Linked DNA regions of Diceros bicornis minor. The protein of the gene in region 2 purifies or fractionates together with the protein of the main gene of each other region. This does not show direct contact. Links are inferred from orthologs where the notes say so. Each region holds a gene or a part of one and is shown on either strand. Other genes may lie near its edges.

Region 1 (7,615 bases), on a different chromosome or scaffold from region 2:
TATATATTATATATGTAGGCTAGTGGTCTCCAAGCCCCCAGTTACAACCCAGATAAAGGACCATAAAACATATTGCTGATTTGATTTGAAAACTCAGCCCACTCACTGCTGTATTAAAGGGGATGAGAGCTCCCATATAAAGCTGGGCCTCAGGGATCCTTCAATCTGAAAAGCCAGAGGTTGAGGGGGGACATGATCTAAGCCTGCAGTTTAAATAAAAGGTGTGGATAAGGTGAACGCTGTTGGCTTCACCACATTCCTGGCACCCTACAGTAAGGTCTACAGGCCATCAAGGAGGCACTAAATGGAATTCAGTCTCCCAAATATATGCAGACCAAAGCTAAAACAGCTTTAGAAATTATTTAGCTCAATTTGGGGATAAGAGAAGTAAACTGGATGCTAAGGCTGTTTGAGGATATCCTAACATGTGGTTGACATCAGGGACAACAATCCTATCCTTCCCCACCACCCCGCGTGGTGCTACTCTAGAGAAAGAACCCTGTGATAATAGGCCCATGAGTCTGGGCCAAGAAACAGTTCTGTTGTTCTTAAACGTGGGGAGGAGTGGGCTGGGTGGAACTAGGGCATGGCTTCGTACCATCTCAGCAAAGATGCAGCCCAGGCTCCAGATGTCCACAGCTGTGGAGTAGTATTTGCAGCCCAAAAGGATTTCAGGTGCTCGGTACCACAGGGTCACCACCTGGGGGATAAGAGTGGGAAGGGGAGGGATGGTGTATGGGGCATGGAGATTCCCACGTCTCAGTTCCTCAGCACTACTCTGCTAACTCTCAGGCTCTTAACAAGCAGCTTCCTTCCCTCCATCCTTCCCCTCCTTCTGACTTCGCCTAAGTGAAATGATTACACACCACTTCTTAGCCCAGAGTTAGCCTTGCCCATGGCTCTGGGAACCGTATTTTCTGAAGCCCCGATTTGTGACCTTTCTGGAAAACTTGAGACAAGTCGTCATAATTTTAATGGTGTGCCATCCAGCTCTCCTGGCTTGGTATCTATCAAAGGCCAGTTAGCCCTACGGTATGAAGGTATGAACTATGTGCATACTCTAAGACCTCCTGGGGTGTCAGAGATACTTTCCATCTACTGAGAGAGAAACTGCTGCCAGGTATTTTTAGTAACTTTGTGAATGTCTTTGTTAACACCTCCCAGGAAGTTCAGAGAAGAAATGCAGAGAGAGACTCACCTCATGAGTATAAGTACGAACAGGCACTCCAAAGGCTCTGGCTAGTCCGAAGTCTGCTAGCTTGATGGCCCCCTCCGCATTGATAAGCAGATTCTGAGGTTTGAGGTCTCGGTGCAGGACCCGGTGAGAATGGCAGAAAGCTAGGCCCTGGAGCAGCTGGAACAGATAGCTCTGACAAGGGAGACAGAGAGGACTGTGTTTTTCAACCACAGTGAGAAGATTAGGGTCTGCTCTGTGCCTCCAAAGCTCTACTAAAGCCTTTACTATGTTGGATCATAATTACATGTTTACAAGCTATTTCTCCCACTGGATTGTCAGCCCAGTGAGGGGTAAGGACCAGGTCTTATTCAGTTTTGCATCTCTTTTCCATATGCTGTGCCTAGCACATTGAAGGTGTTCAATAAATGTGCATTGAATAAACATTTGTTGACAGATTGAAAGTAGCTCCAGGAGTAAAGAACACAGGCCTAAAACAGACAGTAGAGAGCTGCTGGCTATTTCTTCCACCAAACAGGTGGAAGGGCTTTTTAGAGGAATCTACCAAGTGCCCTCAAGTCCCATTTATCTGAGTTTCATCTGACCTTCCACCTGAGCTGCTAAGTTGACTTACTAGAGTTTCCACTTCTCTGATTCTCCTGCCCAGCCCTGGGGTTAATAAGCATAATGAGCAGTGAAAGAGCCACAAAAGAAAGGGGTAGGTATTTGTCTGTAGGGGAATGAGGGCTGGGGAGGAAGCCACATTACAAATCATCACTCAGTCTGAATTGCCTGCCTTCAGTCCCCTCCAAGATGCCCATGATGAGGAGGAGTTGAGGAGAAGGATTACCTTGATGAGGGGAAGAGGAATGCCCGTGAGAGCAGAGGCATCCATGAATTTCTTGAGATCCTGGTGTAGAAACTCAAAAACCAGGTAGAGTTTGTTTTCTGTGTGGATGACATCCAGCAGCCTAGGGAAGAGAGGTCCAGGAATGGAGGTGAGGGAGAGAAATGCCCAGACTTCACAGACAGAAGGTATCCTCCTTTACTATCAGAGTACCTCCCAAATACATACTTACTTGACAATATTAGGGTGGTTAAGCTCCTTAAGCAGAGAGATCTCCCGGATGGCAGTACTGGGTACACCCTCCGTCTCACTTGGAGAGGTTGGGAAAGTAGAGATGGGAATGTGGTTACAAATATTCTTTTTCCTCCAGCCCAGTCACTCCCTCTCCCACCTCCCACCCCCCCTCCACAAGGTGACACCACCCCCAGCATCCCCTAGGAAAGTGAGAGAAGAGAAAGAGTGCTGTAGGAGTTAATTCATGGGTGGTCAGGGAGTGGCTTTTAGACATATTAAGGTCATTATTTCTTCTTTTCCCAGGGGTAGGTAAGTAAAGCCTCCTGGTGAAGGTGAAGCAGAGAGAAGGTAACAGAAAAAAAATGGGACTAGCAGCACCCAGCCTCCCTGGAGGGGCCAGTGAGGTTCAACTGTCATTCTTTTGAAAGAGGGAGAGAATTCTAAGATGAGGGTGGGGTTGGGACAGTGAGGAGGGCTCTTCCTTCAGAAAGGTGCTTTTCACCAGTTCCTACAAAACCCAACTCCACCAGGAGTCCTGGACCCCATCTCAGGGGCCTCCTTAGTCTTCCTGAGTCTTTCTGACTGCACATTTAGGGGGGTATCACCCGGCTTTGGGGAGGAAGTTCCCCATGGATTGTGCACTACGCTATATTCTCCACAGGGAAACTTTCTACTGTCCTCCAGTCCACCTCTCCACCTCAAAAGAAGTCCCTCCCTGCTACCTTCCGGTCCCTGGACGGCTACCCGCCTGTGGGGGTGGGGGTGGGGGTAGGGACACTCAAGGAGCTCCGGAGTTAGGAGTCCCGGGTACAGAGGCCACTCACGTGTCCAGGCGGATTTTTTTAAGCGCCACCACTTCTCCCGTCAACTTGTTTTTGGCTTTGTACACAACTCCGTACGTGCCCTCTCCGATCTTTTCCACTTTTTGGAAGTTCTCCATGAAGCGCTAGCGAGCCGGGTCAGCCCGGCCCTGGAGCGGGGGCCTGGGAACCCTGCAGAAAGCGGGCCCCGGCTCTCGGGGGGCCAAAGAGGGGGAAACAGGGCCCAGCACCGCGACCCCAGGTCGGGATGGAACGCAGTGTATCTCTCGCTCTTGTCAATTTGTCCAACTTAAAACAATGTTGCCGCCTCCCCCCCAGTTCTCTACCGCCACCAGACGCCCCGCCCCTCCTTCCCGCGTTTCCCTGGCTCCGCCCCCGGGCCTTCCCATTGGTCAACGTCAGAGCGGGCGGGGCGAGCCCAGCGCCCCTCGCCGCAAATGACCTTCCCGCACAAGTTTGGTTCTGAGGGGCGTTAGAACAAGCTTCTGCGTCGGTGACGAGGCTGAACACCTTTTTCCAAGTACCTGATTTGGGCTCGAGTTTCCGACCCGTGCCCTCAGTCTGTAGGGACTTCCTGATCTTTAACTCGCAGGGTTCGCCACCCTTAGGGGAAATGTGTATCGACCTAAGATTAAATTCCCCCCGGCCCAGGGAGCCTCCTTTGAAAAGCAGGAAGCTGGGAATCTCATTGTAAGGGTTTCCTGGGCCTCGGAGGAGTCGTTGCCTCCGCCTCTCAGCCTACCCTGAGACTGTCTTTCTGTTTTTGGATGCAGGATCTCTTGTCTTTTTGAGAGGTTCCTGTTGGACTCAAACAACAGACTGATTCACTCTCCCATGATGAACTGTGTGTGTTCGGTATGTGTTACGTAGCTGTTCTTTCCCGGGAGGATGGAGTGTGTCCAGATGAAAGTGACCCAGAAACTGTCATTGAGTAGTGGGATGTCCAGGGACCAGCATCCCTTGTCAGTTCTGCCGTTCTCCGGTCCTCCCGCCCCTCCCAGACCTTCCCTGGAGGGAGAGGAGGAAGGGCTATGCAAATAAGCACCCCTTTCTTATACAGGGGCTTGTCCCAGCCCACCAGCACCTTTGGTTGCTGGAAGGAAGAAGAGGATGGATCTGGTGCTGAGAAAATGCCTTCTCCACATGGCTGTGATGGGTGCTCTTCTGGCTGTGGGGGCCACAGAAGGTGAGTGTGGGGTGTGTGGAGATGAACAAGTATGAATTTGAGATTGCGCATCTGCTCTGGTTTTCCCCCTCCTAATAGGAGTTACCAGCAATACTTCTGTCTTCTCCCATCCATTTGATTTAGTGAGGACATGGGCACCTGAGCTCCCTCCCCACACGGAGATTTGGGACTGGACCTGAAAATAATCCCATCTGCTTGGAAGGGAAAGAGGATAGTGGATCTTCACGGCCCTAATTCTGAGGCCCCCTGCTCAGTGAGATGGAGCAGGGGCTCCAAAGGGCTGAAATGAGTGGGAGACTCTTTTAGGCAATGTCTCAAACACTTGGGATAGGGTAAAGTGAGGAATAAGAGAATGTGGTATTGGATAAGAAGGGTAAGGGGGCCCCATCGCCCCTCTTTGGGATGGAGATGGGCGAACACAGCCCAGGCTTTTGTTCTGGGGCTGGAAGAGACGGGCAGAGGGTCTCAGCTGAGCATCACATGAAAGGGCTTTGGGGGATTGAAGCCTCGTGACAGGAGCAAGGGATGGGGGCAGGGGTGGTGAGAGGGTCTGGAATGTCCCGTGCTGCTCTGAGAAGGGAGGGTTGGGAGTGGAGAAAGAATAGGGCATCTTATGATAGGGTGGGATGCTCAATGACATGCTTCCAGATCCTCCCCCAGTGGAATCAACTAGGTTTCCAGTACACATTAGAAATGGAGTGAGGACAGTTTCTGCTGTGCTGAAATATATACCTCATATCCCAGTCCCCATTTTCTTTTTTTTGTTTTAATAATTTTATTTATTTTTTCCCCCAAAGCCCCAGTAGATAGTTGTACGTCATAGTTGCACATCCTTCCAGTTGCTGTATGTGGGACGCGGCCTCAGCATGGCCAGAGAAGCGGCGCGTCTGTGCGCGCCCGGGATCCGAACCCCGGGCCGCCAGCAGCAGAGCGCCCGCACTTAACCGCCAAGCCACGGGGCCGGCCCCAGTCCCCATTTTCTATCTCTAGATCCCTAGTCACACAGACTTCTAGGAAGTTCTCCTTGATCTGACTTCCCTCATTCATGCTGCAGTTTCAAGTCTTATTCTTTTACTATGTTCCTTAATGTATTCTGGAAACATTCTGTTCATACTTGTCCACCTGAGGCTCTTAAAAGATTGTGCTTACTTTTTGGGTCCCAATTTTTAAAATCATAAGAAGACATTTTTGGATATTCATGAAATTTTATATTGACTGAGTTTGATAATTTCGTCTAGTATAAATTGACATTGTTCTTATTCAAGAAAATATTCATGTTTAAAAAAAATTGTTTAACCCTACAGATACATGCTGCATTTGTAGGGTTAAAATAACAAGATGTCTGGGATTTTTAAAAAAATACTTTAGCCAAAAAACAAACAAACAACATTAACAAAAGAGAGATAAGACAAATGTGGCAAAATTGTTGACAGTCATTGGATCTGGGTGAGGCATATGGAGATCCATCATATCCCTTTTTTTCTCAGACTTCTCTCTTGGTCAGTTACAATAATTTTATCTGCTCTGTCCCCACCCGCAACCTTTGCCTGCCTCTGATCCATCCTCCTCACTGCTTGCCAGTGATCTTTCTAAAACACATCTGATCATATTCAAAAGCTTCTGAAGGGTGAATTTTATGGTATGTGAATTATATCTCAATAAAACAAACAAACAAAATCTTCTGAGGTGGCCTTGCCTACAGGATAAAGGCCAAACTCCTTCACCTGGCACTGAAAGCCCCCATCTTCTTGGCCTCATCTCTCACAGTGTGCATCAACCACATTGCTGGTAGTCTCCTATCATGCCAGGTGCTTCCCTGCCTCCATGCATCTGCTCATGCTGGGCCTTATCCCACAGGCCAACTCCTCACTGACATCTCTCCCAATCTGCCAGAGTAGAACTAGTCTGTTTAGTTTGTCATTTTCATGCACTTTGTGCATGTCTGTTATGGTTCATATTAAACAGTGCCTTGAATTATAGTAATTTATGTATATGTCTATTTCCTATACTTTACCTTGAATCCCATTAGGGCCATGTCTTGTTCATTTCTTAAGTCCTTTGTACCTAGCATAGTGCCTGGTACCTGGTGGGTATTCAGTAAATTAAAATGCAATTTGAATGTGAGAATGAGTGGGGCCACATGGGACGGTGTTATCCCCTGAGAAGGGACTGAGTGAGGATCCTAGGGCCCTCATGGTACCTTCCTTTTAGGACCCAGAGGCCGGGACTGGCTTGGTGTCTCAAGACAGCTCAGAACTAAAGCCTGGAACAGGCAGCTGTATCCAGAGTGGACAGAAATTCAGAGGCCTGACTGCTGGAGAGGTGGGAACTTGACAATTTCTGGGGAGGGTATGGTGGGAACGGGGTGAGGAGAGGAGCAAGAACTGGGTTGGATGTAGCTTGGGATGATAGGAAGGGAAAAGGTACATGGGGAGTGGAAACCAAGGAGTCCCAGCTAATGCAGCTGCCCTTCCCAGGTGGCCAGGTGTCCTTGAAGGTCAGTAACGATGGGCCTACACTGGTTGGGGCAAATGCCTCTTTCTCTATTGCCCTGCACTTCCCTGAAAGCCAAAAGGTGCTGCCAGATGGGCAGGTCGTCTGGGCCAACAACACCATCATCAATGGTGAGTACCTTTCTACTCCAGGCCCTCATTCCTAGGGCTCGGATTCCCTGGTATCCCCAATGAGCTCAGGGAATGCTCCCTTCCCCTCTACTTTTTTTTTTTTTTTTTTTTTTTTACAAATTATACATGTAATACATATTCATTGTAGAAAAATTAGAAAACACAGAGAAAGCAAAAAGAAGAAAAAATTATAGTCTCCAAAATGGGGGACAGAAGACCCAGTGGACCTAGAAGTGGGACAGACTTTGATTTAAAGTTGCTACTAGCATGTGATCCTGGGCAAGTTACTTAATTCTCTTATGCTTCCATTTCCTTATCTAGAATGGGGATGATAACTTGAAAGGTTGTTTTAAGGATTAAAATGTGATAATCTGTAAAGAATTTAGCATACACCTTCCACAGCCTACAGTAAAGGCTCAATAAATATTAGCTGGGGCTGTTATTTTTATTTTTAGTGAGGAGATCAGCCCTGTGCTAACATCTGCCAATCCTCCTCTTTTTTGCCGAGGAAGACTGGCCCTGGGCTAACATCTGTGCCCATCTTCCTCCACTTTATATGGGACGCCGCCACACGGCCAAGCAGTGCGTCAGTGCGCGCCCGGGATCCGTCCGAATCAGCGAACCCCGGGCCGCCGCAGTGGAGCGTGCGCACTTAACCGCTTGCGCCACTGGGTCGGCCCCGTGGTGCTGTTTTTATTTTTATCCCACTAGCTAGAGCAAATCACTCTA
Region 2 (7,966 bases):
CAAACTAAGGCTAGGATAAAACTGCAGTAATGGCAACATACAGTTTCAAAAAGTAATATATCCTAAATGAATTAAATAAAAGTAAAGATGTGCTCTAGAAAAATGTCAGATGACTCAAAGTTCTCCTACTTTTGACAATAACACTGATATTGAAAATGCAGGTGAAGGGGGGAATATAACTTTGATTTTCAATAATTAAATTAATAAATACAAGTAGACATTCTACTGTTTCATCTGTATCCTAAAAGTTAATGTATTAAGAGTTGATCAAAACACTTTTCTTTGGAATTTCATGAGGAAAATACAGAAGATGTTTGAAAAATGTGATTCATTCAAATACAAAATCTGAAGGCAAAATAGTCGATAATGGCAGTTTCTATATTGAGACTACTATACTAAGAATTTTAGTACCAGCATCATTATTTATCAATGGTTGCTATAACAATTAGGCCAATTAATTGAGCTTTTGGAGATCAGGCTTCTAACACCAACAGAGGAGGGTTACTACCACCAACTCTCGGGTGATGCAAGCCTTAAATAAGACAGAGGTGGTTCCCAGCACAACGCCTGACACACAGACTCAAACCGTAGCTATGATTTCATAAATAATATCTAAAGGATTAAAGTCAGATATTTTAGTTCAGATTCTCCACTCTTCATGTATCTTCTCAGGCAAAACTGGAAGGAAAAGAATAATACTCAATTTAAGAGTGGCATCCCTAAAAAAAATTAACATTGCAGGTATCAGAATAACTACAAATTATAATTATTTGTAGCAAAAGAATTCAGTAATTACTGCAAGCAGACAAAGGCTCTACTTTCTCAGAGTTCTAAGAGCAAAACATTCTATTGGGCAAAGGACAAATCTGATTTAGTCAAAAATTACATATTAAGAAACTGTAATTTTCAATTTTTGCTGAGACAGATCAACTCGATTTCCTTGGCGTCCACACCAGCTCCCTTGTTTTTCTGCACACCAGAAATCCAACCAAGTGCCTTGCCTGACCAATGGAATCATCATTTTCAGCTCTACTACTTACAAGAGTTAAAAAAAAAAAAAAATTGTCACACCTAGCAAGCCACAACCCTCTTGAATGGAATATCATCTCATTTGCAAAGATTCTATGCTCCTTAAAAGTGTTCTAAGTATCATATGACCCAGCAATTCCTCATCTACATATCTACCCAAGAGAACTGAAAACACAGATCCATGCAAAAACTTGTACACAATATTCATAAAAGCATTGTTCATAATAGCCAAAAAGTGGAAACAACCCAGATATCCATCACTGATGAATGGATAAACAAAATGTGGTATATCCATACAATTCAGTCATAAAAAGGAATGATGTACTGACACATATCAAAACAAGGATGAAGCCTCGAAACATTACGCTAAGTGAAAGAAGCCAGTCACAGAAGGCCACATACTGTACGATTCCATTTATATAATATGTCCAGAATATGCAAATTCATCAAGACAGAAAGTAGATGAGTGGTTGCCAGGGACTAAGGTAGGAGAGAATGGAGAGTGACTGCTAATGGACACAGGGTTTCTTTTGGGGGGTGATGAAAATATTCTAAAATTAGAATAGTGGTTATGGTTGCACAACTTTGAATATACTAAAAACTGCTGCATTGTACACTTTAAAAAAGGATAAATTTTATGGTATGTGAATTATATCTCAATGAAGCTGTTATTCTTTTTAACTATTCTACAGTGTAAACATATATACATATATGAATATGAGTATACACCTACAACAAATTTTAAATTAATTTAGAGATAGTTTCATATCTATTTAGATCCATGTTAATTTTTTTAAGATTGTAAAATATTAGAATAGTTGAAGGCATACTGGAATATCACATAACCAAGTTTGACATCACTGATACATATTAAAGGTTTAAACTTAAAACTCCATTGAACTAGCAACTTTAAACTCCTAGAACCAGCAAATCAGTGGCAATCTGCTCTCTAGTGAGTTAGCTTAAATTTCAATTTCTTATATTTGAATGAAAACAAGAAATTCCACAAGTTAAATTCTATCTCTGCAAGTATATAATAGAGAACAGGAGCAACATCTTTTACACCCTCGTAACCTTCACGGCATACAGCACAGGCCCTTGCACACATCACGGACCACATAATGAATGCATGAAATACTTTTTTAATACCATATTTGTAAAACAGGGTCATTATAGTAGAACTTTTGCTCTATGTGGTAACCCTTTACATGGGGGTCAGCAAACTTTTCCCATAAAGGGCCAGATAGCAAATATATCGGCTTTGTGGACCAGACCATTTCCGATGCAACAACTCCACTCTGCCCGGAAGCATGAAGGGAGCCACAGACAATCCAGAAACCAATGCTCCCTGCTTTAACCAGTGCTGCCCAACAGAACTTTCTGCAATGGCAGAAGCAGCCTATTATCTACTGACCACTTGAAATACAGCTGCCCCAACTTAGGAACTGAATTTTTAATTACTTAATTTTAATGACTGCGAATGTAAATAGCCACGTGGTTAGTGGCTACTGTGTTGAACAGTAGTTGCTTCAGACTACCAACCAGCCAGTTTTACCTCTATTCAAAAAACTTAAAAAAAGTAAATGAGTTAATTTTTAAAGCTAAAAATGAAACCTGTCTGTGATTATAGTACAGGATGAACTGGAAGGTGAAAACATAATGTAAATTTTCTACAATTCACAGACCATACTAGTAAATAATCAAAATTCTAAGCAAATCAATCTCAGCTCGAGCAGTAGGATACGTGTAGAGTTCCATGTATCTGGATTTCGCCATACTTTGTCTGGTATACACTTGCTGGATTCCAGCTCTGAGGTCGTCCCAGATCTGGTCAAGGCCGATCTGCTTCAGTCCATGGGGGTTCTGACTCCTGTTTGATGACATCGTGAGTAATATTATGAAGTCGTCCAGTGCAGCAATCCTTATTCAAGGTACAGCTAATTCTCCATTAGATGAAAATATACAGTATCATCCCAAATTTATTCACAGCAGCTCAGAAAGGATGTCCTTTAAATGTAGAGAATGAAATCTCATTGCAGGCAAACCTGAAGAAGAAATAAAGGGAATTAATTCTTTCTCAACATCCTGGCGTGGGTCACAGGGTGCCTGCCACATTAACAGAAATACTCAGGCTGCAGGCAGTAGCAGGCACCACTCTATTCCAAAGATTATTTCTCTTTCTATGGGGAAACACACTCATATTATATGGTATGTGTATAGAAATAAGCTTATACTTAGACATTACGTTCAAATCATGACTATCAGTGTTCACAAGAAAAGCTGGGTAAAACTCGCAGAAGCACAGCTAGCAATGCTGCCTTTCTTTGCCTTCTAAAGGCATCAAAACTTCAGCTGATTACTTGACCTATGTAACAGACAAACTCAAAGGAAAAAAGGCAAACAGAATTCTCAGAAACAGAAACACAAATAGCTAATAAATAGGAAAAACCATTCAATCTCACTATTTATCTGTGAATTTTACTAATTTTTCACTTCGCACTTACCAAAATGCAATGTCAGCGAGGCTAAAGGTGAAGGGAAATGGTCACTCCCTTTTTAGAAGCAAATTTGGCAAGAACTGTCAAAATTTAAAATGTGCCCTGAATTTCAGGAGACCCGGGTTTGAAGCTCAGCTCCATACCTACTAGGTACGTGGTTTTGGGTAAGTTACTTAACTTCTCCCTTCCCGAACCCTCAATTTTCTAGTCTGCAAAATGGGGGCAAATCATTTTCCTCAAATAGTTGTGTGAAGTTTAATTAAGATAATGTATGTAAAATATTTAACACATAGTAAATGCTTAAAAAATGGTAATGGCTATTATTTCTAAGTGTTTGAAGTTACTGCAAAACACAATTTATAATACTTCAGGATTGAGGGTCCACAGATCAAGGACCTCAGCTATTCAATATTGTATTAAATCAGTACTTCTCAATATGCAATATTACAGACATACTTTAAGGATCGTCTATGTACATCACATCAAAACGTGGAGGTTTTTAAACAAGTATTTCTAGTGCAAAATTAAGAAACAGTGAGTTATTTTAATGGCTTCATAAAATAAATGTTGTTGGGAGGTAAACGGTATCTGGAACAATAAGAATGGGTTGTGAAGACCTGCCAACTCAAGTCTGAGTCACCTCAGCAAGTAATCCAGTGTGTCTCACACCCTCAATGGCAAAGGCACATTTAAGGACAATGTAGGGCACGCTTGAGGATTAAGTCTGAACTACTGACACCTAAATCACCTCTAATACTTATAATCTGAGCTATGGGACTGAATATTTTATGAAACCACAACACCATTTCTGATCCTGAAAGTATTTTATGTTATATAGTTACATAGGTATGTTCAAATGTGGAATACAAAAATATCTAACAGAAGAATTCCCTCGTGTTTTAAGGAAACTAACAATTCAGTAACCACTCTGCCAATGTTTCTGACATATAATTTCACCCCGCCTTTCCTTTCATCAGCCCGGGGAGATCATACCAACAGCTCACCTGATGGTAATCAGGGGGTCTCGGATTGGCAGCACCACCTGACGGCATCACCTGTTTAAACCTACATGCCCTCACCCCCACACTTACTTCATTTTCCCCTAAGGGGAAGTTATCACTTAAATTCCCCAGACTTACACCTAATTCCATCTTAGATAAGCTTTCTCATACCCATCTAGATACTCTTTTACTCCTTTTTCTTTTTCTTCTAATTTCTACCGGCAACTGAGAAAAATGTTCCACTTTTCCCATTTCTATCTTTTCCTCACCATAGCATTTCAACTGGGCACCATAAAAGCCACTTCATTTAGGATGGATAAGCATAGTAGGGGGACTCAGCAAACCTCCATGTGCCAGTGACTCACAAACATTTCTCTCCAGCCCAGATTTCTTCTCTCAACTCCAGGCCTGTCTCTGTATCCAAGTGCTAGTTCACCTCTTCTGATGTCTCAAACCCAACAGGTCTACAACTGAACTCCAGATCTGCCCCCAAACTCCATTCTCCACCAGTGTTGCCCATCTTAGGAAGTGGCAATTCTATGTATCCAAAAATCAGGAAGCTGGGAATCATTCTAAACCACTCACTCGTCTCCATTTCCTCTCCCAGTAATCAATCATCACCATCGTCGTCTCTTACCTGGACCACTATTTTAGTAGTCTAAACTAGATTCCCATACTTCTCAGTATTTACATCACCCCCCATCTATTCTTCACATGGCAGTTGAGTATAAAATTGTAAATCTGATTAGCTTGTCATCCTGAGAGCAGTGGGGAGCAGCCAAGACAGTGTGAAGCACAGAAATCCTACCATGGCATAATCAGATCTTTTCTGTCTCTTCATTTGCCTCTTACAAAACTCTCCCTTCATCCCTTGGGCACAGAGCCACAGACTTCCCCTCCTTCCTTGGACATGCCTATCTCCTTTCTGCTCCTGAGGATCTTTGCATCTGCTGCTGCTTCTGCCTGGAAAGCTCCTCTCCTTCTTCATCAGGTTGTTTTCCAGCCATACTGCCACCCAGGTAAGACTTACTAGGGAACTCCCAGACGAGGTTCAGGTCACCCATTTCCTGGGACTTTCCCTTCTTAGCTCTTACTCAAGGTCTTAACTCCATGCCTGTCTTTACCATAGCTCTCCCACTTCACCGGGGAGAAGGATCCCTACGATCCCCAGGCACAGAGATCATCTCTTCTGCTCACCACAATATCTTCAGAACCTAGTTCAGAGCCTGGTACACAGCTCAATCAATATTTTGCATGAATAAAAGAAGAAATTAAGGAACTAAAAAGCTATACGTTTTTAAAGGATTTGGAAATAAGGAAATAAGAGTATCATAGAGCATCTGAACTTGCCCCAAATCCCCCTGTAGAATCTCCACAAAATTCTATCCTGTTTCTTCTCAACACTAGATTTTAGGCTATAATTTATTTCTTGCTGTTTTCTTTAGTCATGTTTTATATCATCCTGGTCACTGCAAATGTATATGTATTTTAATATAGTGTTTAAGCAAGACTTGAGAGTTACAGAAATTTAGTGACCATTAATATTTATTTAACAAATATTTAGTAAGAAACTACAATGTGCTAGGCACTGTCCTCTGCCCTGGTTATGTACTATCAATTGTAAATCAAAACAGACATCATCTATTTTCATAACACTTCTACCACGGAATAAAGCATTTTTCTAAGAAGCTAACCCATAAATTTCTGGTATATAACCTGTTTGTAAACTAGAAACTTTATGTACTGTGCATTTGAGTACCAAAAGTATTTGCTTATAAGAGCCGATTACAGTCACAGACAATTAGAGGTTAACCTTAAAGATCGTTCTGGCTCTTTCTTTTACAGATGAAGAAACTGATTCAAAGAAGCAATCAAACCTGATCAGGATCACAATGCTAAAAAGCGGCAGGACCACAGGCCAGAGCTTCGGATTCTCAAGTCAGTATTCCCCAATACTATAGCCTGCATTTTAGGTTCTTTCATTTTTAAGGCGACAATACACAAGGACACCAATAAAGAGCCATGAGAAAAAAAATAGATTCACCAATTATCTATTTATTAATCTTAGAAACCGAAAAAGCTCCAAATAAGAGCTGACAGTTTGAAAGAACAAATCAGTCCTAATTGTATCAATATTAAATCTATTCAAATATTTTGAAATTTAAGAAAGCTGAATTTTTTAAAAGTCCGACATTTTTTAAACGAAGAAAAACACTGCAAATATCAGAAGAGCATGAAAGATAAAGTCAAGATACCAATTATCATACCAACACAACCCCCCACAAAGTTAAAATACACCAAATAAAACCGTTACTGTGGATCTTCCTCTACCTCCACTATCCTAGTTCAACATCATGACCCACGCATTCTTTACATGTTCTTACTCCCTCGTATTACACTTCCGATTCCAGTTATCAGTCTTACTCTATCAAGACTCACTGATACTCTAAGAGATCAAATACAACCTTTTTATGTCAAGTTTACTTTATCACACATACTTGTGTCTAGTTTTGATGCATCGAAATTTGGTGCCATAGCAAATCTCAACTTATATACAGAATATGCTGAAAAATCAGCAAAATATTCTACCCTTGCTTTTATGTGCTTTGTTTTCTCTTTAGGGCTGGCCCAGTGGCTTAGCGATTAAGTGCGTGCGCTCTGCTACTGGCGGCCCAGGTTCGGATCCCGGGCGCGCACCAATGCACCGCTTCTCCAGCCATGCTGAGGTCGCGTCCCACATACAGCAACTAGAAGGATGTGCAACTATGACATGCAACTATCTACTGGGGCTTTGGGGAAGAAAAAAAGGAGGAGGACTGGCAATAGATGTTAGCTCAGAGCCGGTCTTCCTCAGCAAAAAGAGGAGGATTAGCACGGATGTTAGCTCAGGGCTGACCTTCCTCACAAAAAAACAGAGCACTTAAAACAGTCATCAACTAAACACTAACTGGAACATCAACTGAATGGAAGATCACGGGAATCTGGGAAATGCTAGCTTTAGTGAAGCTAAATACTTTGTTTTGTTTGCTACAAGACTTCAGAGGCCTTAATAAGTGAACATATCTTAGGAATTTCCATCAGAAAAACACTATAAAGCATCCCGTACTCACACTGTCTTGGCCGTAGAGCATTTTTTCCTGAATATATTTCAGGACTGGTTTTTCAAGAAACTGTTTCAAGGAACAATATAGCTTTAAAAAAAAAAAAAAAAAGATAAATCTGTTGATCCCTACTGATTCTTAACTCTCTTGGGATCAACCACACACTGTTCTGCAACTTTTTTCACTTAATGAGATATACCTCACTTTACTTAATGAAATACACCTCACTGTTTTTGTGAGCTATATAATATTCTATTGTTTATCAAACTAGTACCCTGCTAAAGACTTTCTAGGTGTTTACTTTTTATCAGTTATAAGTATTACTGCAACGAGCAGC

Evidence for each region.
Region 1: the proteins of CUL1 (region 2) and CDK2 purify together in Homo sapiens (affinity purification with mass spectrometry; 4 studies listed by BioGRID and IntAct, counting the BioPlex papers as one, with this or other methods). This does not show direct contact. The link is inferred for Diceros bicornis minor from reciprocal best matches to the Homo sapiens genes CUL1 and CDK2.

What each region holds. Positions count from the first base shown.
Region 1 is NC_080756.1:12,774,289-12,781,903, forward strand, and holds the start of CDK2 (cyclin-dependent kinase 2), read right to left. Parts: upstream 3,386-7,615; 5' UTR 3,196-3,385; coding exon 3,080-3,195; intron 2,332-3,079; coding exon 2,254-2,331; intron 2,146-2,253; coding exon 2,025-2,145; intron 1,370-2,024; coding exon 1,199-1,369; intron 701-1,198; coding exon 599-700; intron 1-598. Other genes in the region: melanocyte protein PMEL, read left to right, coding at 4,187-4,262, 6,474-6,584, 6,740-6,886. UniProt on the Homo sapiens protein: Serine/threonine-protein kinase involved in the control of the cell cycle; essential for meiosis, but dispensable for mitosis. Phosphorylates CABLES1, CTNNB1, CDK2AP2, ERCC6, NBN, USP37, p53/TP53, NPM1, CDK7, RB1, BRCA2, MYC, NPAT, EZH2.
Region 2 is NC_080742.1:95,004,578-95,012,543, reverse strand, and holds the start of CUL1 (cullin-1), read right to left. Parts: upstream 3,095-7,966; 5' UTR 2,914-3,094; coding exon 2,774-2,913; intron 1-2,773. UniProt on the Homo sapiens protein: Core component of multiple cullin-RING-based SCF (SKP1-CUL1-F-box protein) E3 ubiquitin-protein ligase complexes, which mediate the ubiquitination of proteins involved in cell cycle progression, signal transduction and transcription.